4 linked regions of the Cricetulus griseus genome follow. The protein of the gene in region 1 interacts with the protein of each later gene in a biochemical or structural test. Links are inferred from orthologs where the notes say so. Each region holds a gene or a part of one and is shown in the gene's direction. Other genes may lie near its edges.

Region 1 (7,192 bases):
GTGACAGTCACAGGTGAGTAAACCTTTGGGAGAGGATTATTTGAAATGATTTAAAAATTTCATATTTAGAAAGAGAAATGCATTTGCGAAAAATTCACCCAAAGCTAGGAACACTGACAAACTTGGGCCAGTCCCTGATACAACAGTTCAGCAGCCTCGAGAATTTGACTGAGCTGCCTTGGGAACATGGGACCACACTGCATTTCAAGTAGTAGTTCAGCATTCTGTAGCATCTCCAAGCTAGAACTCTATTTATGTGACAAAGTTAACTAGTGCTCTGTGTGTGTGTGTGTGTGTGTGTGTGTGTGTGTGTGTGTGTGTGTGTTGGAATGCAGGTATATGTGCATGTGCACCACATATGTTTCTGGTGTTTGCAGAAGCCAGAAGAGGGTTCCATACTCTCTAGAATTGGAGTTAGGGTCGGTTGTGACCTGCCATGTGGGAGTAGGGAACCAAATTTAAGTCCTCTTCAAGAGGGCAGCCAGTGCTCTTAACAGCTGAGCCGTTTCTTGAGATCCTGGTAAATGTTTTTTTTTAATTAATAAAAATAATCTCAAAGGCTTCCAAACTTAGCTGAAGAGCTGTGGAGATCTCAAATAAAGAGCTTTCTGTGCAAACATGGGGAGTTAGGTTGGGATCCTAAGCACTACGGAATAGCCAGGTGATGTTATGCACACCTGTAACCATAGCACTGAGAGGCAGAGACAGGAGGGTCCCTGAGATAACCCTGAGAGGTGGAGACAGCAGGGTCTCTGGGTTAGCACTGAGAGATGGAAACAGGTGGGTCCCTGGGTTAGACCTGGGGAGATGGAGACAGTAGGGTCCTTGGGTTTGCTTGCCAGCCAAGGTAGGTGAATGAATAAGTTCTAGGTCTAGTGAGAAGGTCTGACTTGAAAACTAAGGTGGAGCATGACTGGGCACACTTGACATTGACCTCAAGCCTCCATGTGGACATACACACTCATGCACTTGCCCATGTACACATGTGTTCACACACAGAAACATCAACATGCTCACACACAAAGTTGTCTGGTGAGTGAAAACTGTACATACATGACAAGAACCATGCACTATTTCAATAAATGGTGTAATATTCACATCAGGGCAATCATCTCCATTTTCTCATAGACTGATCATTTCTCTTTACTGGTTATCTTTTTTTTAAAGCTTTTTTTAGTAATACACAATTGGTTATCATTATCTGGTCACTGCACTTTGCAAAATAACACTGGAATTTATTTCTCCTGTGTGACTGAAAATGAAGCTTAGCCAAATTTACTCTAAGCTTCTCTCACTTTCATTCCTCCTGGCTTCTTAGGATAGGCATTCTGCTCTCAGTGTCTGGACAGCTATTTTGTTTATCCATTTATTTATTTATTTATTTATTTATTTATTTATCCATTCAGCTATTTATTTGTTCACTTATTTTTTGTTTTACATCCCAACTGCAGTTTTCCCTTCCTCCTTTCCTCCTAGTCCTCCCCACCACCTCCCTTCACAGGGTTATTTTATATTACACACGAGTATCTGTTCACCTAACATACTATCTTTCAGCTCTACCCAATTTTTTTTGCCAATGACAGAATATCACTTCTTTTTAATGGCTGAACAGTTTTCTGTGGTGTATATGTACCACATTTTCTTCTTTCATTCATCAGTTTATGGACACTTGCATTGCCTCTCTTTCTTGGGGTACTGTGAACAATGTTGTAATAAACATGGCCATACGAATGTCTCTTCAACATATTGAGTTGGTTTTCTCTGGACATATGGCTGGGAATGAAATTGCTGGGTGAAATAGTAGTTCTATATTTTTAATTTAAAAAGAAAAATTTTTTAAGAATTATTTATATTATGCATATGGATGATTTGTGTGCATGTATGTCCGTACATCATATATATGTCTGGTACCATGGAGGTCAAAAAAGGCATTGGGTCTCCTAAAACTGGAGTTACAGGCAACTATGAGCCACAATGGAGGTCTCTGAGCCAAACCCTGGTCCTCTGTGAGAGCAGCAAGTGTTCTCAGATGCTGAGTCATCTCTCCAGCTCTTCAACTTTTTAAAAAGGAAACTATCTACTATTATTATAGCGAGTGTAGACTTACCACCAGGCAAAGGCATCCTATCATTGAGTTTCTCCATATTCTCATCAATGTTTCTTGTCTTTTGTCTGTTTTATACTTGTCATTCTAACTGGAGTGAGATGGCTTCTCATGGATTTGATTTGCGTTTGTCCCATTTTAGTGATGCTGAACATTTTTTTTTTGGTATCAAATGTTTTACATATGTACACAGCCAACATAAGATCAAAATATACTTTATTCTGGACCTCTTTCAGATCTGATTCAAATTACCGTTGTCAAAGCAATGCAATGCAAAGGGGGAAACTGCAACAACACACACATAAAAAATGTGCCTGGAAAGGGTCAAAAGGTCATTGGGGACAAATCACCATGATGTGGAACCAAAATACATAGCAAGTGTCATTGACATGGTCCAGGAGAGACAGACATCTGTATCAGTCTTCCTTACACAGTCATCATGAAAACTGAACAATAAAGTTCTTTAACGTGTACAAAAACTGTCATGGGCTGGTTTACACTTTACAACAGCTTTAAGGTTACTGGGGAACTAAAGAAAGGATGCAGACATCATCACCCAGTGCTAAGGTATGCTCACAGAATTAGACCCAAAGGATTTCCAAACCCAAATGAAAACATTCTACATAGTGACAATGTCAAAGTCGGGAGACAAAACCATTTCTGTATTTAAGGATGGCAGAGATACACAATGAAGTGTGTAATGAGATGAAAAAGTACACCAGACACAACATGCAGAATGTTTCCTCCAACTTATCCAGAAATTCCAAAGAAAACATGTAACTGCTTGCTAGGTGTTAAAAAAAAAAAAAGCCTAATTATTCACCCGGCTCCAACATGGTCACAGAAGAGCAAAAATAAAGAATGCTATGGACACCTCAGAACTGCTAGAGAAGACATCAGATTCTAAATGAGTGGATTAAAAATGTGAGCACTCCCTTTTTCCCCCTCTTCTACATTCAACTAGAGTCATGTGTTAAACAACTGGTATTAAATGTGACAGACACTTCAGAGCTATTACCGGAAGGAGTAGTTCACATGGTCCCTCTTGCTGACTTCAAACAAAAGGAGGGAATCAAAAACAAACAGAAAACCACCCCCTGGGTCTCTGTAGGCTGGCTGCTAGCCCCCAAATGCTGGCTTTTGCTGGTGTGCCATGATGTTGGTCCACGGAGGCAGGATTTCTGCAGCAACTGTGCCAGTACCACTCTTAACTCGTGGGAATCCAGCTTTTGTGGAAATGATGCTGAACATTTGGCATACTTATTTCTTTTAACCATTATGTCTTTGTTTGAGAAGTATCTCCTTTGGTTGGCTGGCCATTTCTGATTGCATTATTGCTGCTTGAGTTAATTTTTGTGTGTTGATGATTGTTAAATCAGTGTTTCTCTTGGGATTCGGTCATTGGTAGGTCTTACTCCATCATGGTGCTCTACTCCTTCACTACTAAAATTACTGTCAATTTGCTATTAAAGAGTGTCTACAACAGATGCAGTATTTGATATTAAGCTATATTTCATGAGTAACTAACTAATTATTATAATTTTGTTATTTTTATAGCATTTATTGTACACACAGACACATGAACACTTATACACGTATACATACACACATATACACACGTACAAACATGCACAAAAACACATATACACACATATATATATACATACATACAGATACACACATACACAGATACATACATATATGACACACATATACATAAACACACACACATACAATACTAGTGTGTCAGAAACAACTACTATTGGCTCATAAAATCACATTGTTATATTTTCAGGAGTTTGTGTATCTCTAAATATCAGACAAGTGACTTGAAATTTGTTACACTGACATTATTTATCAAATGAATATCATCAATGCCACAAATCAGTGCTGTTCTCTTTTGCCATTTGGAGTGAGAGTTATTAAACACTAGTTTGCATGAGCCTTCCGTATTTATTTTAATAAAATAAAGGGCTATTATCTTTGAAGATGGTGTTTGTACTGAAGTTGACGGGAGAAAAGGGTAATTGAATTTGTTCTTTTATCCTTCTGCATTTTCAGGGATACGAAAAGACCGGAGAGGAGGGAGGATGCTGAAACACAAGCGCCAGAGAGATGACTTGGAAGGCAGAAACGAAATGGGGCCTTCAGGAGACATGAGGGCCGCCAACCTTTGGCCAAGTCCTCTTGTGATTAAGCACACTAAGAAGAACAGCCCTGCCTTGTCCTTGACAGCTGACCAAATGGTCAGTGCCTTGTTGGATGCTGAACCGCCCTTAATCTATTCTGAATATGATCCTTCTAGACCTTTCAGTGAAGCTTCGATGATGGGATTATTGACCAACCTGGCAGACAGGGAGTTGGTTCATATGATCAACTGGGCAAAGAGAGTGCCAGGTAAGAACGCAAAACTCAACGTCTGTTTTAAGAGTGAATGACTCAAGAACTGGCTGTGATACTGTGTGGGGAGGGGAGAAAATAACAGCGTGCGATGTGGTTGGTGTCAGTGCTACATCGGGGCTTGCCAATTGTCAGTGTTAACCCACTGTATTTCTCTTGAAACTTGAGAGTAGCCTTTAAAATCAACACCAAGAACAATAAAGCCTTCGACATAGTATTTCTGGCCAGTTTTCTCTGCTCAGAAGAGTTGGATAGATACTACATACTGCATGCACACATGTGTCTGTCATGCAGAAATCACATTTTAAAAGTGCTTAATGCTCAGTGATCTATGGAATTGTTTTGATTTCTAAGACTATCATTGAAAATGCCTCTATTGAGGAGAATTTTTCCCATAAATAATCTATTCTTCAGATGTTGTGCACTAAAGGGCTAATAATAGGCTTATTTGTGGAATGCCAATTATTTATTCATTTTGCTTTATGCATCCTATGTTCAGAGAAAAGGAAATACAATAGGAAAATAAACACAAGCAATGCCCTGAGGAGCTGCTAGAAAGATCCAGAGGCTGAAGTGACACTCTGTTCATCCTATTGGTCTCTCAAGTGCTGTTTCTAAAGCTCTTGACTGGTCTCCTTTATGGAGAAGGACTCTAGTTATGATGGGAACAAGCCTCTCCCATGCCCCAACTAATGGATTTCGTATACAGAAGCCTAGGCTGAGGCAAAAAGAGGTGGACTCTCTTGTATGGCTTATAGATCAAATCAATGTGAGATTTAAATTGAGCTTTTTTTCTCCCTGGGCTTCAATAGATGAAGTTATTTTTTTGTGACACGTGAGATTTTTTTTTCTTTTTTATAATACTAAAATATATATGGAGTTTTGGGCTTCCATTTCCAGAGTTGTTGACATAGGCTGAGTTAACATGAATCTGAGAATCCTACATGTATTTGTGTAAATCCATGTAAAAACAAGTTGTGCTTTGAGTAAGGAGCTAGCTATGCAATGAGCCAACTTACTACAGGGCATCTATCTAAGTGGATTGGGTAGGAGAGATCAGAGTATATGAATGAATAAGATTGACAGAGAAAGTTTAAGTTTTGAGGAAAATACTAACAAGCAAGCAAATATCCTGGCCATCCAAGGAACTGAAGGTTTTATTGAATGCCTAGATATTCTATCATTGTTTTGTGAGATAGACACAAGCACTTCAGGATTGGAATTATGCATGTTTTTCCTTGAACTTTATGTCTGTTTTGTCTTATTTTCACACTTTGAGAGAAAAGAAAAATGAAATGCACAAAAAATTTAATGACCATACCCCCGAGAGCCCATCTTGGTTGCTGTTAAATTTTTATTAATCTATAAACATATCCCCTATGAGAGTGTAGCAATAGTAGTCCCAGATCCACACAGCAGTGCTGAAAACAAGTATATATTATTCATTTTTATCTGTAGAGTCCCCTCTCAACATGTGGTATTTTATTAGCGGTGGTGTTTTAAGTCAGGGTCTTGCTGTGTAGCTCAGGCAGGCCTGCAACTTGCTTTCCTGTTCCAGCCTCAGGAAGTTCAAATGTAATACCCATTGATGAAAGATTTGTGAAAATAACCTTAATTTAGGATTAAAATAGAGACAAAAGTCAAGCTTAGGAAGATACTGTGGTCAGGTTTAACTGTTCCATTGTTAAACTCAGAACTAGACATGTGCATGGTAATAAAATACCTAGCAAGGCTACTCTCAAACTTCTTTGTGCTTAATTCAAGGGTCCAAAATATAGTCAAACTATATTTTGTTGACTGGCCTTTTATAAAAATGGACTTTAAAAGCAAATGCAGATATGTATAGTCATGTGCTATGTAACATTTTTTGCTTAGGATGATGGTAGGTCTGCATGTTGTACAGAATAGAAGGAGGGCAGGCTGTTTACTTTATAGAAAATAACAAATCCACCCAGGGATCTAGTTCTCTGATGTGCCCCTGTCATCAAGAGACTGACACAAGGCTGTGTGTGTGTGTGTGTGTGTGTGTGTGTGTGTGTGTGTGTGTGTGTGTGTGTGTGCACGTGTGTGTGTATCTGTGTGCCACTGGAATGCAGTTACTATGAGTCAAATGCCTACTTATCCGAGGAAACAGAATGATAATGGTCATTGATTTAAAAAGAGTGAGAGAAAAAAAAGTATATCAAAGACCTTCAGGAGGAACTCTGAAGATGACTGCGAAAGTTTGCAAAGAAAGTTGTGTTTCACAATGGCTTTATATACCTAAATACTGTGTGTCATTTAAAAAGATAGTCTAAAGTAAAGATCTGGTATAGGTAATGTCACATTTATGAGGTGATAATTTGAGAATAATAATGGTAATTTCAAAAAGAGAATGAGAAACATCGTCAGGAAGAACAATAGCAAGGAAACCATTGTGTGGAATGAGAGGTGCGATATGAATTTGAAAGAGAAAAAGGAGGGGTATAGGGAGGGTTTGGAGGGAGGAAAGGGGGTGATGTAATAATCTCACAAAAAGAGAGAGACAATTAAGAAATATATATAAACAGAGGTAGAGGAAAAACATTTCAGTAAAAACAAAAACAAAAAACAAAAAACAGAAGTGAATGACTACCAGTGTAACAGTGTGAACAGACTTCATTTTGAATGATGGATTTTTAATAAATATAATTAATACTTTGGGTTATT
Region 2 (7,746 bases), on another chromosome or scaffold:
TTTTACCTCCCAACTAAAATCATCCAATATAGTTCTGTTTCTTGAACCCATGTAGGGCAGCTCAGAACTGACTGTAACTCCAGCTTCAGGGAATAAACCATCTCTTAGCTCTTCAAAGATGTTCACATGCACACACACACACACACACACACACACACACACACACACACACACCGGGGGTGAGGAGTCAGACAGACATAGACACATAATTACACGAAGTAATTATTTTGAAAAAACACAGCAAATAATAAAGTAAGGAGTAATTGTGATCTATACTTCTGAAAACCACAGATGTATGCAAACAGGTTGTGGACATTTACTTGTCTGTGTGGGTTCTTCTGTAAAGATGGTTGTTTACTACGCTGAGAAAATTTACCCTTTGTAAAGGTATCTTCAGTACTAAATATCGCTTCCTCATCTGACAAGTGTGTCAGTATTCCTGGATTGAAGGGAAACTTTTAACAACAAATCCACAGCATGCACTTAAGATACTGTGTAGTTATCTTAAGATAGAATAAAATGTGTAACTGCGCTGTTTCTGGGGAACACGTACGTGCACTTACCAAATTAGTCAATGAGGGTATTTGCTTGGTTCAATTAAGAAAGAAAAAAATCAGCATCCAAATCTTCAAACTCTGTGTCTTATTGTATTTCTATTGCAGTGATGAAACACCATGAATAAAAAGCCAGGTGGGGAGGAAAGGGTTTGTTTAGCTTATACTTCCTCGGACTGTTGATCACTAAAGGAAGTCAAGATGGAAACTCAAACAGGGCAGGAAGGTGGAGGCAGGACCTGATGTAGAGTCCATGGAGGAGTGCTGCTTATTGGCTTCCTCCTCATGGATTGTTCAGCGTGCTTTCTTATAGCACCCAAGACCACCATCCCAGGGATAGATAGTCCACAATAGGTTGGGCCCTCCCACGTCAGTCACTAGTTAAGAAAATGCACCCCCCAGACTTGCCTGCAGTCTGATTTAATTGAGGCTTTTGCTCAATTGAGGTTCCTTAAGATGACTTTAGTTTATGTCAAGTTGACAAAAACAAAAAACAAACATCTGTTTCAAGAACAATTACATAGAAAAGACTTCTTTTTTTTCCAATTGACTCTTAGGCATGATAATCTCTAAATTAGTAGCAAAAAATGTGTTCTATTCCCTGTCCCAACAGTATCCAGTTGTTAATCTGGGGCACGGAAATGGATTTGAACCTTTTGTTCCTTTCCATGGTGAGCTAAGCACCCTTGTATACCTGGTCTTTGGCTGATTTAAGAGGCCATGTGCTGTTGTTACTGAGCTGTTATTCAAAGTCTAGGCTCCAGATCTTCAAGCTTCTGCTTAATTATTTTTAATTGTTCTGGTTTGTTTTGGTTGAGGAAGCCAGAATAATAATGAAAGGATTCAGAACCTAAGAACAGTGGTTTTTGTTGTTGTCTAAAGATGTTGAAGAAACTATAGTATCTTTTTCTCAGCATCATTAAGTTTGTATTTCTTGCCACAATCCCCCTCCCCTCCAGCATACAAAATGAGAAACCTCTAAGTACAGGAGAATTGCATGGAAATATTGAATGTAACTCTACATACTTCGGTGCCAAAATGTTCTGGGTTGGTAAATATTTGACTTCCTAAATAAAATTGTCCCTATTTCATCATGAGCAGTCTCTATCTGAAAACAGTCCTGCCTCATTGTAGAAGAGAGAGACAGATTGCTCTTGAACCTAACAACAGGTAGTGTGAGTACAGCCAGTACCCCCTGGGATGGTTGTGCAAACTTGTTATGATATTGTTATTGAACAACCATTATTCAGTCAGACACGTTTCTTTAAATTACATTTCTGGGAACAAGGGTCTGTGGAATATCATTAGTTTGCTAGGTAATATGCTGGCGTGCATAATGAAAGACTGTGAAGTAAGAGCTTGTTCCTGGTGTTCAAAATCCCCATCCATGTGGAGATTTTGTGAAGAAAGAGCCTAGAGAGGGGAGGATTACATAGGATCAGTGCTTACCCATGTAGTCTCTAAGGGACTTCTGCCCTTTAGCCTCAAGTATTTTTGATAGGTTTTTTGGGTTTTGTTGTTGTTTTTATAAAGTTGTTTGTGATTTTTAAAGATAAGTGTAAACAAGGCATAGACACACTTAAGAACATTTCTCCCTTTAAGAATTCAGGTTCACTTGCCCTTTTGCACTCACTTGTTTTATTGTTAAGCTGTGTGACAGCTCAGCCTGTGTCATACTTGAGTTGCATGCACTCAAAGTTGAATCATTTGTGTTCCCCTTTTCTGAAAACCATGCAGCTTCCTTTATTTGCTGATTGTGGGGCGGGCACTGTTACTAAGCTGGTGAGAAGCTCTGAGAAGCACATTTTAATATTTAGATCAAACAGCGATTGGAATACATTAATGCCCAGTGGGGTAAATGTGTCCTTTGAAAGCAGCTGCTAGGCTTCTCCCTGCTGCTCCAATTAACACATACAGCACACTCAGTCAGCAAGAGGGCTGTACATATGGATGAAACCACTTCGCAGATCACTAGTGTGGCTTACCAAGAGCCCAAAGAGTTAACCAGCCTTCTCTTTGCCCAAACTGTAGCTTTCTAGGAAGTTTCCCAAGTGCCAGCTGTGCTCTGAGCAAAGGAATGTTAATCGAAGTGGGTAGGTTGCTGGTGGGGAAAGCCGGTTGTCCCTAGCTTTGGTTCAGTCCAGTGACTAGCGAGCTTCCCCACCCGCCCTGGTGATGGAGGTGTTGGGTAGTGACATTTTAGTGCCCGGACGCCTCTTGCTTCAGCTGAATGAAATATCTTGAACTTTTGTTTGGTATGGAAGCAAGTTGAAGCCCGCAGCTCCGCTGTTTGTTTTTAATTGGTATTATCTTACTTTTGTTATCTCACTTTCTTTCTCTGCCCCACCCATCCTTTAAAAAAAAATATAGCAGATCTGACAGTTTCTTGGGCTAAATGAGAAGTCTCACCAAGGTACTCCCTTATCGCTGTTATGTTTTCCCCTGCTGCGGCTGAACTCTTGGCTTTGATGGACACAGGGAGCAAGGCTGGAGGGTAATGTGTCCCAGTAGCAGGGCTTCCTGAGGGTCATTCATGCTCCACCGACTTGCAGAGCAGCTGGGCTGTCCGCTCTGCTGCTGGCTGCGCAGCTCTGCCCCGGGAGCCAGTCATGGACCGCTTCCTGGGATTCGTCAAGCAGATTCGGAGGTCTAGAAGAAGAAAGGGGAAAAAGTACCGCCCGGAAGAGGATTACCAGGAGGGCTATGAGGATGTGTATTACTATGCTTCTGAGCATTTTCGAAGTAAGCGCTCTCCTACACCCTCCTCCCCTCCATCCTCCTGGTCCTTCTCACTTGCCGGGGCTGACAGTAAACCTTGCATGCTTCTTTACTCTTGGATGCAAAAGATTTACCAGATGGTGTTGTGTGAAGTGCTAGCTCCATTGTACTTGGTTTGTTGTGAGTATAGCCACCACGTCCGATCTGCTCAGTATTACCAGCCCGGGTCTATACAGAGGTTAATATTGTAGATGTAATTGATTGATTCTGTTATTTGAAGGAGCCGTTCTATCTCGTAGGTGGTTAGAATATGTTCTGTTGTTGTCATTGTTTTTTTCAATAATTTTTTGTGTGTGCCTGTATATTTTAATCCTTTCAAGAAAGAAAAGGTTGGCTTGTTTGAAAGTAGTTGTTTATGTTGGAGTGGATGTTCATGATTAATGCTACAGTTCCGACTTCTGGACAGTTACCTGTGATGAAACATGCTGTTTGTAGGAGGAAGTTGATGTATGTTCATAATTTTGTTATTAAGTTAGGGGTCTCATTTACTGTCAGCTAGCAGCAGCAATACCTGTAGAATTAAAAAAAAATACCCACATGGCGACATTTGTAAATTGACTTTAAAATAGCAGAGAACTAAAATGTTTCTTGTACCTGTCAGTGCTCAGGGTTCCTGGTGAGGCTTAGACAGGACCCAATAGATTTAAAATCCAGGAACTGCCTCAGGGCGAGGAGAGAAAACATCTCCCTGCCAAGAGCACTGAGCTTATGTGCCCAAATGAAGGGGAGGGAGATGAAAGCTATGTGTGATCTACATTTTAAAAATTAAAAATTATTTCTTATCTTCTTGAGCAAGAATCTTTATGAACTTGTACCTGAAGCACAGTTTCTTTTTTCCTTCTGGCCTTTTGAAGTCTAGCTATGAATGTATTCCATTTATACCTTTTGAGCATTGGCTAATAAATAATTTAGATCCAAATTTCTTTGGCACTGAAAGCCATGGGAATTATTTCTACATGACAAAAACCCTGCTGTGATTGATGAAAGCTGAGAGTTGAAAACTCATGTGGTGACAATAACACAATAATGCCAATTATATTTCTTTGGTGTTTGCCTGAACGGTATTGCTATAATGTTTTTACAGAGTGTTCTCTGAGTTTCAGAGATATTTCCAAGTTATAATTCTTTTTTCCTGAATAATCTATTCTAATGTAGTGACAGTCTATGTTTCCTAAATTTAGCTTCCTTGATGTATTCTCAAATTGAACTAACATTTGTGGCGCACATTTAAAAAAAATACTGCCAGCTTGCATGAGGAGTAATTCTGAAATGTAGAGACTGGGGTGGGGGAGTTTAAAGAGCATTGCTTGGACTGCTATTCCTTGAACACTTTCTTGCAATCAATACACACCGAGTCTAATTCACACCCTCTGTGATTTCTGTTGTGATGAATGTGTGTTCAAATTGACTCAAACAAAATCTCTCAAATGCCTACATTCTACTTGTTTTGCTGAGTTTTTTTTTTAATTTAAATAAATTTGCCGATGAAAAAAAAAAGATATGTCAGCAGGGCAAAGTGCTTTCCAAGAATAGACTAAGAAGATGGTATAATGAAGGTGTAATAGTTATTACCATTAAGTTCAGAGAAAAACTCAGAAACCCTGCCTTATCAGAGTCACCAAGGACGTTCTAAGGCTACGACACTAACCAGCCTGAGTGTTTGCCTTTCCACATCAAAATTACATCCAGTGATTTTTTTTTTTTTCAGAAGCACCCTTTCTTTATACGATTCAGTTGAAAACTTGTAGACTTAGCTGGCTGGTGGGTCCTGAACTTCAAAATGCTACATTTTAAATATAATGTGTCACAGTGAACTGACATCTGGGGTTTGGCATTTCATTAAATATTAAATAGCGCAAGCTTTTGCAGAAGGCATGTGACATAGCACAGTGACCTCCTGGGGCATCTTTGGTTCCAGTTTCAGGGCCTCCCTGAATTGGACAGAGGAGATTCCACTTGTATTTAACTGCTATAGAAAATCGTACCAGGCAAACCTGACTCTTAAAGCCAATCTTCTCAAATGGGTAGTACGGCTGAATTCAATTACATCTGCTGTGTATCTGTTTAATTAGTCTTTGGTATAACTTGGAATCTATACCCCATGTATCGCATCACATGGGGAGAAACTCCATTTATGTTAAGGCTGAGAGCATCGTAGAATTTATTGATGATAGTCATGTCTTATTTAATGATGCCATTGATTTTTTTTTAAACATCAGTCTTGGTCTCTAGTGTTTTTATTTCCTTTTGTGAAACTTAACTCTGCCATGAAGATTTTCTATCAGTTCATATTGTAAGAAAATGATCATATGATAATGAAAGATAGAGCTAATAAGGGCTTTCCAGAAAATATGCCCTCCCCCCAATTCTTTTCCTCTCTTACATAGTTTTAAGGAGTTCCAATTACTTGGTTTTATTCGAAGTAATGTTTCTTCCTTTCTGGGTTCTAACTGAGAGTTTCATCATCTTTTCCTTTATTTTAGATGCTCCTCAGTTATTGTATTAAATGCTAAAGACTGAATTAAGTTGTTAACAGGGTCAGATGCTGTGGAATAAAGATAGTTCCAGAAATGCGTGATTTCTCTGCAAACCTGTCAGAAGTGGGTTTTAACAATGATGGACTTCTTTTACTTTTTTTTTTTAAAGGAAAACACTTGCATATTATTTAGAATCAATGTATGCAACTGTGTGCAAGAGGCAGAATGAAATGTTTTATTAAAAACTGCCTTTCCCACTTAATCATTACTTTTATAATTCTAGAGTTGGAGTTGAGGCAAACAAGACAGGAGCCTTAAGCGAATCACTAAACACTTACGGGTTTTAGTTCATAAAATGTGACACAAGGGATCTTTATTTCTAAGGATGTTTCTAAGAACAAAATATAATTTTATGTTTTAATTTTTGTATCAGTTCATGTAGAAGAAAAAGACAGTGGTAGTTGGGAAGGGGACAGGCAGCTCCAGCATCCAGCCATGACTCCAGCACCTGGGATCTCTGTTCTGGCCTCTAGAGGAACTGATGGATACCACAATGACTTTAGGTAAAGAATAAACAAAGGATTTTATCTGCTATTTAAACCAAATAATCCACTTGACTATCTTGAAGGACTTGTCTAATTAGCTATTGAATTCATTTTGATTGGAAACTGTCGGAATGGGTATGTCTTTTATTTAAGATCATGATTTATCATTGACTATTAAGGAACTTGGGAAAGTTTTGATAATCCAGCAGAGTTCTCGATGTATTGCTAACTCTTAGAGGTCTTCTGTTTAATTGCACCTACCAAAGAACATTTTCTCTTGAAATTCTTTCATAGATGATTCATTGAGTGTTTCCCCTAAAAAAAAACCTGAGTTGATTTCAAAACTGTCATAAATCTAAATGTAACAATCCACTAGAGTTAGACCCTAAAATTCAGTTTAATTATTCTCACTGCCCCCCCCCATGGGATTATTGTAAGATTTTTTTTAAGGCTCTGGCTGGCCATGCTTATTTTATCTGCCATACAAATTTAAATGTCTGATCCTATTGTTACACTTTTTTTTTCCACAGTGGATAATATTCAAGATGTGTTATCTAGTCATTGTCTTTGGACTGTTCTTAGCTGTTATAGCAGCCCTAACTTGCCACAATCTATTTGCTGAACTATTGAAAGAGAGATACCTGTTTGTCTCTTACCAACTACAGCCCTGGCACCTTCTGCAGGTTCATCATGGTACTGAATTAGCCACGGGGTTCCTCCATGGTAACAACTCTCCTGGGTTCTCATCTTAAGGCACCTCTTCTGGAGCTAAGCTGTGTGTGAAAACTGTACCTGGCAATGTGTATTGACATTAACCTTTTCTGCTGAGGTCATTCAAAGTGAATCTAGAGAAAGAGAAGAGCTACTGGGTAGAGTTTCAAAGAAAGATCATTTGTATTAACAAATTATTTTTATTTGTTGTTTGTTTTTATTTGCTTATGCTGAGCTGCAATTCTCAGGTGGTGTGTGTGTGTGTGTGTGTGTGTGTGTGTGTGTGTGTGTGTATATGCAGGTGCATAAAAGCATCATAGCTGACTTATTTTAGTAAGCAATGTATGTGTTTGAAAAGGCCTGCTCTGGCAACTTAGGCTTCAATTTGATTCAGATCTTATCTTTAAACCCAGCACTTGGGAGGCAGAGGCAGGCAGATCTCTGTGAGTTTGAGACCAGCCTGGACTACAAGAGCTAGTTCCAGGGCAACCCCCAAAGCCACAGAGAAACCCTGCCTTGAACACCCCCCCCCAATATTTAATGTATTTCTTTTATCTAAATTTAAGCATTTTGGGTATTATTCTTCTTAGGGCATAAAGCAAGTTTGGTGGTGGGTGTTTACAGTGAGGGCATTTTTAGGCAGTGATGTGGGTGTTTAATTTTCATTTATCTATTTGTTTT
Region 3 (7,981 bases), about 33 Mb from region 1:
GTATTCTCAACTGCTGAGCCATCTCTCCAGCCCTGGATTGCCAATATTATAGCTCAACTTGAGGTGGCAGTTAAGTAGCCAAGAAATTACAGCAAAAAATTATAGCAAAAAAAAGATATCACCTATTTTAATACATTTATTCAATAGATTCACATCTATCTTTCATAACATATACATATTGATAAGACTATAAAATGATACAGAGCCATGGAAAATAGTTTGGTAGTTTCTTATAAAATTGAGCATGCACAAACAATATGACCAAGCCTATGGACCCTTGGCATCTTACTGCCTCAGGTTCCCCAGTGCTGGGATTACAGGTATATGGTGCCACATCTGACTTCTCTTAAGTTTTCTCAAAATCAACATGGCATCTTCGTGACCCAATAGAGTCTATTGGGTAGACCAATGATCCCAGCTTGTGAAAATGAGCTGCTGCCTTCAACCCTGCTAATTCTGTTTTCTTTGACCTCTTTAGAAGAAGAGGACCACCTACAGATGTTCACAGTTGTCATTGATGTCACTTACAGCCTGTGTCAACCAGCTCAAGTCCAGGGTGAGAGCACATGTAAGCATGCATCTCTCCCTGAGCTAGATATAGGAGGATAGTTCTAAATCCTATCACTCCAAGAGAGAGCTTTCTTGGTGGCAGTAACCTCAGCTTTTCATCCAGTGCATGAATTTCAGCTCAAACACCTTTGCACAGAAATATAGATCCATGTCAACATTTCAGTGAGCCTATCTGAGCCTAATTAATTTCTCATTCATTTGTGGTATTCGTGCCTGTCTGTCTGTAGGGCAGAACAAGTGAAGTGACTCCCTCCTCCCTCCTCCCTTTTAGGCTCAAAGAGCTCCCTGATCCTCTATTTACTTAAAAGTCTCAATATATAAAGATTATTGGTCACAGAAAAAGGGACATGACAAGTGCACTTAAATTGCTGCACTGTCACTTCTCCCATTTATCAGAGAAAGAAGAGGCAGTCTTTATATTTATCCCAGGCTCTTGCCCCCGCACACAGTTCATCACTTTCCAAGCACTTTCTGCTAGCCAGATACAATGAGAGGCACTATGGAGACCAGTGTATTTTAATTAATAAATTAAATTTTACTAATTAATTAACCTTATTAATTAGAGATAGGATTTTATTATGCATAGTAGGCTTGCCTAGAGCTGACAACCCCCCCCCCCGGCCTCTACCTCCTTAAATTTTGGGTTTACAGAAATTGGCCACAGTGTCCAGTCTGGGGATACAGGGTTTGAAAAGAAAACCTTTATTACAGTAACACATGCTTGCTCCAGTGACAGCTGATGTGTGTTGATTACATAACTCCACGTACCCTTCATGGTGATCCCATTCCTTATATTTACCCTATGACTATGTTGCTCTGACCATCCCCTCTTTGGAGACAAAAGCACCAGAGTTAATCATTTGTCCAAGGCCAGCACATGTCGAAGCTGTAGTCCAAAGGCTAACTGTGCATTCTTTAGGATTCTCATGGTCTTCACTATATATTCTAATGGTATTTGATCTAGGGGTACTCAGATTACCTCAATCCTTTTATGCAACTCTTATCTACCAATTGAAATTTGACAAGAATTCCAGAAGAATTTCCTATAATAAGGAATTTCCTATAATGCTGTGGCCTGTGCTATCCAAACAGCAACCACAAGCTTTAGTTGGATGCTTAGAACTTGAAGTATGACATATAGACGGAACAATCATAACTTAACTGTATTTGATTAAATTTAAATGACCACACAGGGCTGCCGGGTACCACGCTGGATAACACAGATGAAGAGAATCTTAATTTTAATTTCTCTGTGAAGACAAGACTCAGATGAATCAGTCAATGCCTGGTAATGAAAAAGAATGATGAATAATCTTTAAATTAGGAGCGGCCCCCCAACCATGGAAGATGGAACTCCTTGCTCTATTCAGACATCCACTGTAGTGACAAACTATAGTTAGCATGTGAGACTTCATGTAATCCCAGAGGAGCTAGTGAAGATAGTAACATTATCTGCCATGCTTTTGAAAGGCTGAGGAACACTTCTTCAGCAATAGTCACCACTTCAAACACACACTCAGTTATACCTTTGCCTAAGAGAAAAGAAATCAAGGCTTACTTTATTCCTCTACAAAGCTAAGAGTTCATGGACACAAAAGGGGTTAAAAGAGGGGAAACAGTACCTGGAGCTCAGTGAAGATTTTCTGCAGAAACTGCACTCAAGATTTGGACACTTTGTTAAGCAAACTGCAAGTACTTCTTCCAAGTGATTTCCCGAACTTTCTCTAACATCACTATGCATGTCTTCATCCCTGCAGTGGGGTCATTCTGAATTGGGGCAAAATAGCAGAACCATTATATCTATCACTTATGTGGGGCTTTAGATTCATCAGCCATTCTCAGAACAGGGTTGAATCATGTGACCCCTGCCCACCCAGGACAATACAGCTCAGACACTGCCCTGTTCCACTCTGACCTCCAAGATGCTAACTCTCCCCTCCCCAAATCTCAGCTATCTTATAACAACTTGGACTTGACATGATGTTTTTCCTTTCTTTTTAAATTTATATTTTGCTTTTGGAAACATATAGCCTAGGTTAGTAGCTGAGGTTGGCCTTGAATTCTGTATTTTCCTAACTCAGCCCCCCCCCAAGAGCTGGGATTACAGGACTATGCCACCTCTCTCTCTCTCTCTCTCTCTCTCTCTCTTTCTGTGTGTGTGTGTGTGTGTGTGTGTGTGTGTGTGTGTGCGTTTTCTTGGATTTTTAAAAATTAAGCTTAGATTTCAAAACCATAATAGCACATATCAAAGAATTGTGAGACCACTACCAAACTTCTGGAGACCTCAAGCCATGCTTTTCTTTTGATCCACGCAGAAGCATCTCTATATTTTAGGAATCCATTTTTCTCCTGCTAAAGGCTAAGTCATTTTACCAATAAGGTGACTAAAGGAAAAGGAGAGGTCTCTCCTACTCAGACCATAATGATGTAAACCCGAAGTCATAATCTCCTGATGGTCAGTGCAAACCAGGAGATGATTCCATATTTGCAAGACAATCTAACATCACTGCAGCTGAAATCCTAAAGTCACTATGGTTCAGTGCTTTGCTCCGCTCTCAGGACTAGAAGCACCAAGAAGCAGCAGCGGCAACCTGGGGAGGCCGCTATGTACTGTGTGGATGGCTTCGGACACACCAATCTTATCATACCAGCTGCAGCTTTTTTTTTTTTTTTTTCTTCCTGTATTTAAGAGTGATCTTCACAGTCAGATCCTCCGAGTCATCTTGCGGTGCTCGTCACGGGACTGTAAAGGGAGCGGCATCCAATACCAGGGAGGGATCTCACAGGCACAGCTCCCTGGGCTGATGCAAAAACCTTCCTAACGAGCTTCTTCTCTCCAGTCTCAGCCAAGAGCTGGCTGGACCGCCCAATTGCTACATTGCTTTGGCTATAATGATTGCAATTTGGCAGCTTACAGGATGTTGAACCGGGGACCGGAGAGGGAGAAGATAGTAGGCCCGGTTGCCAAAGGCAATGCCGGAAAAGACAGAAGGATGAATTTATGGTGGCCCGTGGTCCTAGAGCTGGAAGGGAAAGTAAAGGGATTTTAAGACTCCAGCAGGTGCTCTAACTCCTGCTGTACCCCTAAGCTTCATTTCCCTCCAAGATCCAGACCGTAGCTAGAGGGGATGCGATTAGGGGCCAGGTAAGCAGACGGTTCCCGGTACACATATGGCCTGATGGTCGCCCCGGGCAGCGTCACAAAGGGCCCAGGCCTGCGGAGGCCGCGCGCGCAGCTCTCCGGGGCGGAGCCGCCGGGCCGGGTGCTGGGGAACCCGCGCCACTTCGGACTGTTCCGCCTGCCGCCCCGAGGTCACACCGGGCAGGCAAGATGCCGTGGCTGCAGCCCGAACCGCTTAGCCTGGCCGCGGAGCTCTCGGGCCCCCGCCTCAGCGGACGAGCGCAGCGCGCGCCCCGAGTCGGGCGGAGCTAGAGGCGGGCGCCGGGCGGGCGTCGCGCCACCGCAGCTCCCCGCCTTCCGCCCGGAGCGCGGCCGGTGCCTGACGGTGGGCGCCGCTGCAGGCACCTGGGCGAGGCCTCGAGCATCCCGGCGGTGGCAGCTCCGGGCAGATCCGGGACTTGGGGACCCCGCAGGAGCGCACCCCGCCGCTCCTGTCGCCTCCCTTGGCTCCTCCTCGGCACACGATTCCGCCCCCCCCCCCGCTCCCCACCGCCGTCCCCTCCCCTCCTCCCACCCCGGAGGATGCGCTCCCCGCGCCCAGCAGCAGAGGCCACCGCTCCCAGAAATGCGTGCGCCCGAGCCACTTCGCCCCGAGCCGCGGAGCCCCCGCCCAGTAGGTAGGTGGCCGAGGCGGGGCCCGGCCTTGGAGGCCACCCGCTGCTGATGCTGCGGCCAAGGAGAACCGGCACCGCCACCGGCAGCCCCAAACTTGCCTCCCTCCTGGGCTGCCAGCACACCGAGGTGTGCTAATGGCGTTGAGCGCAGCCCCCGGGAGACCTGAAACGCTTTGCTGGAACAGTCGAGACCGAGCTGGGGCGCAGGGGCGCAGGGGCGCTGGACCCTTCCCGCCAACATTCTGGGGACCCTCGGGGTAGGGCGTGGGGGTGCTTGGAAGGACAGGTTGGCGCGCGGCTTCCTTGGGGAGGAGGCCGTTGCCTTTTTACTAGCTGGAGTAGACTATGTCATTGCATTTTTTAAAAAGCGGGATCAGCTAATTTGTTCCTCCTATCTCTTTTGCTAAAATGTAGACGAGCAACGGTGTTGTTTTAGAGGTATTTAGGAGTGGTTGTGGATATTTGTGTATTTTACAGCTCGTCATGTGGTATATAAAATCAGTGGTGCAAACACTTTATTTTGGATGCCAGTTTAAGGAAGGTTCTTCTAGAAGTCAGATCACTCAGGTGATGGATGAGGCCAGTGTGTTCTGTTAGGATAAACCAGACGGGAGCCGATGGGTTTGAGAGCTCAAGTTTGATACAGGTGTGGGGAGCTGAGACTCTGAAAGATGCGCTTGTCAACCAGCAGAGGCAGTCTTGCCGCCAGCCTCGCTTCCAACTCAGAGCTGACCTTTGCCTTTCTGAAAACTGGTTCAGTCTTTGACCCCCTTCTGTTCTAGAAGTAAAATTCCTACATTAGGGCTTTTAGTATGTTTGTTTCCTCTTAGGCTGCCGTTTTTCATTTTACACTAAATAAAAGGTTTAGAATTTTGGGAAAATGGATCATTGTAAACTCCAATTGTACAGCCAGGATTTCAGACTAGAGATTTTGGTGAACTGAATTAATATAAATAGTAAGGAGACAGAATCTTCTTTTTCCCCCCATTCTGTAATTCCCCTCCTTTGGATGCCTAATAGCTGTTGGTTATTTGTTATTTCTTTCTATAAACAGGCAAACTCTGTTATTTTTCATTGACATTTGTGGCTTTAGCAGCAAGGAAGGCATTTGTTCTTCTTTTAGGTTCACTTTGTGCCCATTTTCCAGTATTATGGCAATCAATTCTCTTTCAGTTATACTTTCAAAAACAATTTAGAAAGCAGAATTCATGTTTAAAGAAAATTCTTAAGTCAATTCCAAAAGGAGTAGTGATCTGGTTAATAAGTAACAACTTGTTTTAAGGTTCAGCTATGGTTCATTTTTAATGTTTTTATTAAAACTAAAGTGAAAACAAAACATTTAAGAGTCTATGGTTGCAAAGTGACCTCACTCATATTATATACATAAAGATTTGATTTTTTTCTTCTTGTGATGCCAGGTACCAGATCCAAGATCAGGCCCATGGCTTCAGTGTGTTAGGCTGGTCCTGTTTGAGCTGCATCCTCAGCCCTAGAAGAACATTTTAGCTATTTTCCTCTATAAGATGAGATGTTTGGAAGATCCAGTGCCTTTTCTGCTTAAAATGTTATTTTAGTAGAAAAAAATAAAGAAAAAAATAACAGAAAGGACCAAAATGGACATAGGGACAAGTCTATTACCTTCCATTTCCTTTACTTACACTCTATGAAAGTATTGATATGTCTTTGTTTTTCTGTCACATAGATCCACTGAGTCATTCTCCTTAGCACATTTATCTGACAGGGAATACCTCCTAATTTTCATGCATCTTCTTCCTCACTACCCAGAATATTTCCCAGAATCCTGATTTTCACACAACATGCTAAAGCATAATATATTACTGTTTCTTCTCTAATCTAGTCAGATTGTTTCAAATGTGTGAAGGAAAACTTTTAGATAAAAGGTATGAGAACTGAGGAAATCATGGGAAGAGAACTTGTGGATATAAGTTGTTATAATTTATGAAAACAAAGCAGTTGCCATACCAATTAATATAAAGCCATTTTTAGAGTCTTATTTATAATCAAGGATATTGAGCAATTCATTTGCATTGTTTTTCCTTGCTCACCTTCTACTTTGTAAAAGAACCTGTGGTTAAAATACACCTTTTGCTTCTTTTAAAATTATTGATTTATATTTGTAGGGGGTGGGCATCTTGCCTGCAGTTGTGTCTGTGCACCATGTGCATGCAGTACCTGCAGAGGGCAGAAGAGGGCGTCAGGTCTCCTGAGACTGGAGTTAAGGTGGTGAGCCACCATGTAGGTGTTGGGAATCAAACCCAGATCCTAAGCCACTGCTGTTGCTACCTACCCCCGCCCCAACCATCTCATGTTTTAACTTCTGGACAGTTAGTTATTTTGTTCCGTCAACAAGTAGAACTTGAACATTTTCATAATGTTCTATAACTTTATGCAAGAGCTTTTTCTTCATTGCAGAAGGAATTTTTTTTTTCTCTTATGTCCTGCATGCAAATGTGGTATCTCTACAATGTGATGACTCACATGTTGGTTCTTGCCTCAAGCGCCAGCTACAACCCTGCCTCCCTGCCAGCAATGCAATTCTAAGTCTGGATTTCTTTTCTTCTTCTTCTTCTTCTTCTTCTTCTTCTTCTTCTTCTTCTTCTTCTTCTTCTTCTTCTTCTTTTTGTAACCTTTCTGTATCTTTCTCCTGCTGTCATTTCATTTGTTTGGTTTGTTTTTTGTTTGTTTGTTTGTTTTGTTTTGTTTCAAGACAGGGTTTCTCTGTAAAACCGCCTTGAGTGTCCTAGAGCTCTCTTTGTAGACCAGGCTGACTTGGAACTCACAGAGATCCGCCTCCCTCTACCTCCCGAGTGCTGGGATTAAAGGTGTGTGCCACAATTCCAGGCTCCTGCTATCATTTTAGAAACCTGTCTGTCCTTTGTTAAATGTGTATTTCTTAAATCTTACCCCCAATTTTCTTTTTAAATTAAACAGAATGCTCTCAATTCACATACACTACAATCAAAATAGCTAGGATTGTGGGGCGACTCTACAGAGGTAAATTTGTGTAATCTTTAATCTCAGATAACGGGGAATGAAGGGTGAAGAAGAGTATTGTATCTGTCCCCCTCACGAGGTGCATGACATGAGATTGTTTCTGCACACGTGAGAGGGTGCAGATTGTCTTTAAAATGGATAAGATTGGCCAGTCAGTGGTGGCACATGCCTTTTATCTCAGCTCTCAGGAGACAGAGGTTCGGGGCCAGCCTGGTCTGCAGAGCAAGTACTAGGCCAGGCAGGGCTACACAGAGAAACCCTGTCTCTGTGAAAAGACAAAAACAAGAAAGATAAGATTAATTGATAGAAACTGTTGCTAGAGGTTCAGTTGAACAAAGGCCTTGCTATCTGTATAGTCTTCCTTTTATCCAGACCAGGAGTCTAGCTAGAGCTTTCCAAATTGTGGGTCTTGGTTTCTTCGTTCAGCATGCTTCATAACCCCTCCATTGTGTGCACTGTGAAGGATTCACTGAGCAGACCATGGGAAAGAAACTGTTGTTAGTTAGATCACTTCATAGACGGGATTTGGGGAAGGGTCCCTGCTACAGCTCCTGTTTAAAGTCTATGCAAGAAATTCCATTGAGCTCTAGGTGCCAAAGTC
Region 4 (7,847 bases), about 160 Mb from region 1:
CTATGTCCTTGTTTTTTAATTGCAATTTTTTTTTTAGTCTCATGTAGCCTCAAAGTCACGATGTAGCTGAGGGATGACTTTGAACTTCTGGTCGTCTTGCTTGTACCTTTCCAGTGCGGGGATTGTAGGATTGTACCATCACACCAGTTTATATAGTGTTGGAGATCAAGTCCGTGGCTGTGTTCACGATAGGCTAGCAGTCTGTCAACTGAGCCACATCCCCATTCCACTTGTCTGTCTTCATGGGCAGGGCTAGAGAACAGGTTGGGTCTGTCCTGGAATGGCTTTAGTGGGACACAGGGTTTGTGTGTGTTGTGTTATTTCCTACCACTCAGTTATTTGTTTCCTGGGTGCTTGGGTTCGTCATTCTCAAGGTTGAGTGTGAGAGCTCTGGTTTTTACCTTGTCCTCACTAATACTTGGTGCTTCTTTGCATAGAAATTTTAGATATTTTGATGAGTTAGTCTCACCCTGTTGTAGCTTTAGTTTTCATCTTCCTGTTGTCACAGATGTGGACACCTGTTTGTGTGTCGATTGACTGCTCATAAACTCTTTGTGAGACACTTGCTCTTACCATTCACCCATTCTCCCCCTCCCCCCATAAACTGGGGGTTGTAAACTCTTCGTATTTGTATGGATCACTTGTGCGTTTTTGGGTGTCAGTCTCTTGTTGAGTGTTCTGTGGCAGGCTGCTTTTCCTGCTGTTTGGCTGTCTTCTCTATTTTCTGAGTCTGGATAAATTGAAATTTTTCTTTTTCCTTTTTCGCTTTATGGTCCAAGGAGATTTCTCTAACTATATGAAAATACTGGTTTTTGTGGTCTTTTGGACTGGGTCTGTAACCCATCTCCTGTTTTCATGATGGGTTGCTAGGAGGTCATGCATGACCCAAGCATTATATTCAGAAAGACTGAAACCTTGGGATTTAGGGTGGGCTCTTAACTATTAACAGATGACCTTGCGTGTATTGGTTTCATTCTAGAATATTATGTTCTTTTCTTGTTTTTAATAAATCAATATAATATAATTGAGAATGTAAGTCTTCCAGGTCCTTCGTGTTTCTTCGTAAAATACAATATTGACATGTCAATTTACAAAAATCACAATTTTAATTTTTCTTTTTTGAGACAGGGTTTCTCTGTGTAACAGTCTTGGAACTTGCTTTGTATGCCAGGTTGCTACCACCACCCAACTTAATTTTAATTTTTATTGTGATTGCATAGACTACCAATTAATTGGGAATGTCAGTGTCTGCGCCATTGTTAGGTCTTTAAATCCATATACATAGAATATTGTTTTATTTAAATCTTTGAATTTTGCTTATTATATACTGACAATTTCCAATAAAGCTTTACATTTTTTGATGTATTTAGCCCTTGATATTTGCTGATAATCTGATGGTATCATAAATGTTTTCTCAGAGTTATTTTCTTTTTGTCCCTGGTGTATAGAAACACTTAAGTATATTGCCCATCTTACTTTACAACCTTATGTTAATGTAGACATTTTAATAGTTCTTGGTTGATTGTTCTGGGTTTTCTGTGCATATGTATACTGTGTATAGATGATGATATCACCCTTCCAGTTCTTTTTCGTGTCATATTGCTCTGGTGAGGGTCTCAGGAGATGGCGTTGTTTGGCAGAGGTGAGTGTGACACCTGCTGTGTTGTGTAGATGATCTGCGTTTGTTACTCTGCAGTCTTGTCATTTCTTGCTTGATGGTGTCACTAACTGACTGCTGCTACTCCACCAGCCACAGAGTGTGGTAAGGGACAGAACATGCCCTCTCTGCTCACACCTCTTTTTGGAGCGTCATAAAGATTTTTAAAAGAAATCCTCTTAAAGATTTATAGCTTCTAAGACTTGCTCATTGGAAGGGCTTTTACATCATATGAAGTCAAGCCAACTAGGATTTCAGAATTTCCAAGTTGCAGGTGTGAGGAACCCAGGTAAACTAGCACACGAAGCCATCATGCTACTTATTCTGTATAGAGCCCGAGGAGAAATGCAGCAAGAGATGTCTTTGTAGAAGTTTGTACCCAGTCTCAGACTGCAGTTAACAGGATGGCCAAGGTACCCATAAATCAAAGTTACTTACCTTCTCTCTGGCTCTTACAGACAGATCTTTTCATTTGTGTGGTGCCTGGAGCACCCTGGGCCAGCGGGCCTATATGCTAACTGTCTTCTGACCTACCTTGGTCTGTTTTCCCATACCTGTGATGAATGGCTTGGTTCATCGGTCTGCTCATTTCTAGTCATCTTTAGTCTTCTACTTCTGTATCCAGATTTTTTTTTTTTTTTTTTTTTTTTTTTTTTTTTTTTTTTTTTTTGTCTTTCTCTTAGGATCATGGGCCCTGGCCCAGCCTGGCTCTGAAATAGTCTGCGGTAGCACTAGGGACTGTCTTTTGGCCAAGAAGGAACTCCAGAGGCTGGTGTGTGATTTAATGGAAGGCAGGATTTCCAGCTCTAGAGATAGCACTCAGCCATCTTGTGCTATCATAGCAGCCTGTTCCAGACCCTACTAAATTCTTCTCTGACCAGGACCCCATAGGCTCTGCCTCTCTCACATGGAAGGTGACATCTTCTGAAAACCTTTTTTCTGGTAGCAGAGCTCTGAGTAGATGGCACTGAAGCTGATTTTCATCATGCTTTTGGCAGTGCATTAACAAACAACAATAAAAACCCAAGCCAACAAACTCATAATAGATTGTAGCTGCACCTACCTGCAAAAATTTACAGTTAGTTTTTGTGCATTCAGTGTGTGGAGAAGGAGATGTGGATGAAGCAAGAATGGCAGAGTGTTCATAATGATTGAAGTTGGTGTCTTGGGTTTGTTGTACTATTTGCTTTGCGTTGTGTTTGCATCAGGTTCCATAACGTGAAACCTTCCCTTCAGCAAGAGAGACCTATGCAGAAACCACAAGAAACTTAAATTTAAAATTACCTTTATAGATATTTTTTCTACTAAACTTGTATTTTATTTATTTATTTGCTTGCTTGTTTGTTTACAGGGTCTCACTATGTAGCTCAGGCTGGCCTGGAACTGGCTATGCGGACCAGACTGGCCTCTAACTCGCAGAGATCTATCTCCCTCTGCCTCCTATGTGCTGGGATTAAAGGTGAACACCACTAAGATCAGCCCATGTTTTTATTTCTTAGTCATCACATATGGAGATGATAAACAGTTTAGACCCATCAGAATGGAGAAACCCCAAATGGAACATACACCCTGGCATCAAAGCCTCTTTCTGCAGAAGCACAGCCCACGTCCTGAAGTGATGCATGGGCAGCTCTGGAAGAGTGCCTGGGTAAGGTTGGGTGAGCCTTGGAAGACCGAGGACAGAAGCAGTGTTGAGTGCCCAGTGCTGTCTCCTCATGAGCTTGTTTGTCATGTGTAGGGCTTTTGAAACTACTTATGAGTGTATAAGAACATAACCAATATATTGTATATTGTAGAAGCCAGGTTTCTCACTGTTAGAGAAAGGTGTTAAAAGTGAGGAAAGGGTGACTAGCAGAAATCTTGCAGTGGTTAGTTAGCTTGGGACCTAAGGCGTCAGTACTGAGTTGATGTAAACAAATGCTTAACAGAAAAGATGGAAAACATCAGGAAAGCATGAGCAGCTGATTTAATGGAGCTCCAGTAGACAGAGTCAAGTGAATAAGCCAGAGAAAGTTGATAACATTGGATTATTAGCATACTGCAAAGAAGAAATTTTCATCTGTCTTCATTAATGCAAGTGACCAAATGCAAAGATAAGGACCCCTCAGCGTTGAATTTGAACTAACATGTATAAGAGAAGGAAGCCAAGTGCCACCATCAGGCAAACACCCCCCCCCCCCCATGGCAACAGTTGCAGATGGGCCCTCTTGATGTATCTGAGATCCAGAAGATACCCCCTGTTATGTGTCTGTCCTTCCAAATAATTGACATTTAGGTCTTTCAAGGCTCTTGTTGATTTTATGTAAGTCCTTGGCATAAAGTTGTCTATGATGCTATCTTTTGTCCTTTTACTGTTTAGTCTGTAGTTCATCCCCTCTTCTTGATAGCATTTCATCATCGACTGCCTAAAGCTTTGCAATCACATTGATTTACCCCTTTCTTTCTCTCTTTGTTCCTGTACTGTACACTGCTCACTGTATAGTACAGTCTTGAGTTTGCTGTCTTCCTTCCTCAGCCTCCTGAATGACTGGGTTACAGGTGTCCCCCACTTTGCTTGGCCTTCTTCTTTCTTTCCATTTTTTTTTCATGCAATTGATTTCTACTCTTTGCTGTTGTCTCTTTGTTGTTTCTTTGGAGTTTGGTTTGCTCTTGTCTAATTTCTTGAAGTAAAGACTGCCATCACTGAATCAAGAGTGTCTTTTCTAACATGGGGATTCAGTGCTGGACATTTCATATTTTGATATCTTGTGTTGCTGTTTTCATTCATTGCAAAGTGCCTTCCAATTCTTCATTTGTGAAGTGTTTTGTTGTTGTTCATTTATTTTCCTTTTTTGTTGTTGTTGTTTATTTTGAGACAGGGTTCCGTGTAGCCCAGGCTGGTCTCAGACTCTGTGTAGTTGAGGATGGCCTTGAACTGCTGATTCTCTTGCCTCTACTTTCCAAATGCTGGGATCACAGGTGTGTGGCGAACTGAAATGTATTATTTAGTTTGCAAATACTTTGGGTTAAAGATACTTTTCTGTTGTTACTGATTTTTAAATTAATTCCAGTTTAGTAAGATAAGTTTATTTTATGTGACTTGAGTCCTTTTAAACTTAATGGTACTTGTTTTAATGGGCCTAAAGGTGTTCTGTTTCAGTGCTTGCTCTGTGTGTTAAGAAGGTGCTTCCACTGCTTTTGTATAGTGAGTGTTGTGTAAATGTCACTGAGTCACCTTGAGGGCTGTGTGTGTGTGTGTGTGTGTGTGTGTGTGTGTGTGTGTGTGTGAGTGTGTATGTGTGTGTGTGTGAGTGAGTGAGTGTGTGTGTGGTGAGTGTGTGTGTGTTTTCTAGTATTCTGCTAGTTTTCTGCCTGCTTTTGTGACAGTTCCTAAGAATAAGCATTGAGATCCTAGCTGTAATGGTCGATGTGCCCATTTCCTTCATGCTTTTCTTAGTTTTGTTTCTAGTGTAAAGTGTGGTTTTCATTTACTCCTCAGCTTACTGATCCTTCTGCCATTAGGAACTGGGCCTCTGCATCCTATGTGATAACTTGAGCCTAAAGTTTATTTTGTCTGATGCTAATGTCTCCTTCACAGATTGCTCTTGGTTAATGTTTGTTAGTTACTTTTGTCATTGTTGTGACCAAATACTTGACAGCTACAAGGGAGGGGAGATTTATGTTGGTTTATGATTTCAAGAGGGTAGGGAGGGTGTGGCCGAGCAGAACAGGTCAGGTCATGGTGGGCTAGGAAGCAGAAAGATTGGCTGCTGGTGTTAGACTAGCTCTTCCAGTTCCCTCTTTCATTTTCTGGGTCCCTCAGTCTGTGGGATGGTGCTTCCTATATCACGGTGGCTCTTAGTGCTTCTAGAAAGGCCCTCACAGACACACAGAGGGGTTTTCATCTCTTGGGGGTTTTCTAAGTAGAGTCAGTTGGGCAGTGGTGCTTAACCTGCACGGTTTGTGTGATAGATCTTTTCCTATCTTTAGTTTATTTGTGACTTCATAGCCAAGTTCAGCTCTATGAAGGAATGTATTGTGTAGCTTTGTCATCATTGCCATTGTGTGAATATTACACAGGCTAAGGTGACCACATTGTCACATGATGATCCTTTCTAATGTGACCACCCTGTGTTTGCTATATGCAGTCTGTTGTTGACTTGAATGTCATGTGGCATGTGTCTGTATTGAAAATGTGTTCGTGTAGGTTGCACATTGCTGGGCCTCTGTTGCTTAGGGAACACTGATGTTATATAAAATGAGTGACCTTCTGTCTCTAGGCCATTTCCAGTCCTACCTCATGGTGGTTCTTTCTACTTGGTACAAAAAAATTACTGTTTTTTATTAATATGTCTGACAAGCTCTGTCCCTTAGTGGAGTGTCTGGACAATTTGAGAAGGTCGCAGATACAGGTGAGAGTGGGCTCAGTTGTCCTTGATTCCCAAACTCAAAAGCATTGTCTCTTTATCCTCCTGTTTAAATTGTTGTTACTGTTTTTAAATCTTAAATTTCTGCATTTATTAGACTTTTTTGTTAGGACTATTTACTGTCTTTTTTGAACTGTGGTAATGTTTTCATTATACATTTTTGTAGTGTATTAGTTATGAACCTCATTCTTCTTTTAAGCCCTGTTATTTCTAGTGTTCACTTTTGCCAAGTTTGAGTTCTCCCAGAACAAACATATTGTGTCACAACAAAAACTCTTGGGTTCTCTTACAAGGGGCTTCTCTCCATCAGTGGAGCTTAGAGAGCTTGCTGGAAGCCTTGGGTGGGAGCTGTAACCCTGGCAAGGTAGGCTTGGGTGGTGCTCTGGTCTTGAGATGCTATTCTTTGAGGAAAAACCACAGTCCCCATCTGGGGCCTGTCAACAAGGTGTCCAGACTATTTAAGAGCACACCTCAGAACATGATTCCTGTCTTGGAAGAAAGTTTTTTGGAAGATTGGCTAGACATGTCTCAAGAAATGAGGGTGCATGGGGTAAGGGGTGGGGTGGTCAGAAAGAGAATTAGGCCAAATGAAGGTTTGCAAGGGAAGTAGTGGAGAGCATTGTTTAAAGTTTACTTAAATGGCATCCTGACCACAATGAAGAAAGCCGATACTGTGGAAGATGTCAGCAGTCACGTGCAGAATGTACCAGAGAGGCCACCCCGCCTGGGAGTGCAGAATAAACAGCAGATGCGTCTGAGGCAGGAGGGGTGGATCTGTGGAGAGAGTCCAGCAGCAGTATACAATCTCTCAAGAAGCCAGAGTGAGTTGAATAAAAATAATCAAGGGTGACTGAGCATTTTCCAGAGCAGGAAGATGGAAATGTATTCAAAGGGTCTTGCTGTGAGCAAAACGAATCAAGAGACACTTATCGGTACACCGTCTGACAGTATTTTTCGGTTTCCAGACTAAAGAAAAAGACATGGTAGCATTTAGGCAGAAGAAAATGACATTAGCAATACCCAGCCCTAAAGGTTATGTAGACAGAACTCTGGGATAGCTGGCCTTAGGCTATTCCATGGTGCCAAGGGAACAGCATTACAGGATAGATGGTGTGGCCTGAGACTTTTATACCTAGCCAGGATGTGTGTGTGACTTTGTGTAAGATGGCTTCAAAGTTGCCAGAATAATGGGGTTTGCAGGATTGTGCCACCTGCCTCCCTTTAAAGAAGTGGTGTCCTGACTGAGAGGAGTAAAAGTTCTGAACCTATGGATAAAAGTCATGGTGCTATTGGGTGCATATCAGTTGTCATAAAGATAAGGGTTACATAGGTGTAGGTAATAGTGCAAAGCCGGAAACCACCTTGAATAGCCCACATTTGAAGACTGTCCTTGACATGATGAACTGATTAGTTGCAAGCAGCTGGGGAAAATCCTTGACTTGCTTAATAAAAGGATACATAGGCTGGACATGGTAGTGGATGCCTTTAATTCTAGCACTCAAGAGGCAGAGGCAGAGGCAGGACCAGCCAGCCTGGTCTAAATAGTGAGACAACTCTTTAAAAAAAAAAAAAGATTCATCACATTCTAAAAGAGAGAGATAGATACAGACAGATGTCTCAGTAGGTACTGGAGCCAGAGTCAGTCAGGTAGTCTTGGGTTGACATTCATTGGCTTGTCTCTGAAGTGACTGAGTTGTGAAAAGTCTGGTTGGGGAAGAATCTGTTAAATCCAGGGCTTTTGACAGTGCCCTAAAACTTGCAGTCTTCCCAAACCCTCCCAAGTG

Evidence for each region.
Region 2: the proteins of Esr1 (region 1) and Grip1 form a complex in vitro, tested with the Homo sapiens proteins (2 studies listed by BioGRID and IntAct). The link is inferred for Cricetulus griseus from reciprocal best matches to the Homo sapiens genes ESR1 and GRIP1.
Region 3: the proteins of Esr1 (region 1) and Ncoa7 form a complex in vitro, tested with the Homo sapiens proteins (2 studies listed by BioGRID). The link is inferred for Cricetulus griseus from reciprocal best matches to the Homo sapiens genes ESR1 and NCOA7.
Region 4: the proteins of Esr1 (region 1) and Hdac4 form a complex in vitro, tested with the Homo sapiens proteins (2 studies listed by BioGRID). The link is inferred for Cricetulus griseus from reciprocal best matches to the Homo sapiens genes ESR1 and HDAC4.

What each region holds. Positions count from the first base shown.
Region 1 is NC_048595.1:282,510,212-282,517,403, forward strand, and holds part of Esr1 (estrogen receptor), read left to right. Parts: intron 1-4,165; coding exon 4,166-4,501; intron 4,502-7,192.
Region 2 is NW_023276806.1:137,037,135-137,044,880, reverse strand, and holds the start of Grip1 (glutamate receptor-interacting protein 1), read left to right. Parts: upstream 1-3,163; coding exon 3,164-3,296; intron 3,297-7,746. UniProt on the Homo sapiens protein: May play a role as a localized scaffold for the assembly of a multiprotein signaling complex and as mediator of the trafficking of its binding partners at specific subcellular location in neurons.
Region 3 is NC_048595.1:249,090,064-249,098,044, reverse strand, and holds the start of Ncoa7 (nuclear receptor coactivator 7), read left to right. Parts: upstream 1-3,398; 5' UTR 3,399-3,715; intron 3,716-4,236; exon of another isoform or gene 4,237-4,368; intron 4,369-7,981. UniProt on the Homo sapiens protein: Enhances the transcriptional activities of several nuclear receptors. Involved in the coactivation of different nuclear receptors, such as ESR1, THRB, PPARG and RARA.
Region 4 is NC_048595.1:443,655,611-443,663,457, reverse strand, and holds the start of Hdac4 (histone deacetylase 4), read left to right. Parts: upstream 1-3,264; 5' UTR 3,265-3,279; coding exon 3,280-3,305; intron 3,306-6,639; exon of another isoform or gene 6,640-6,884; intron 6,885-7,847. UniProt on the Homo sapiens protein: Responsible for the deacetylation of lysine residues on the N-terminal part of the core histones (H2A, H2B, H3 and H4).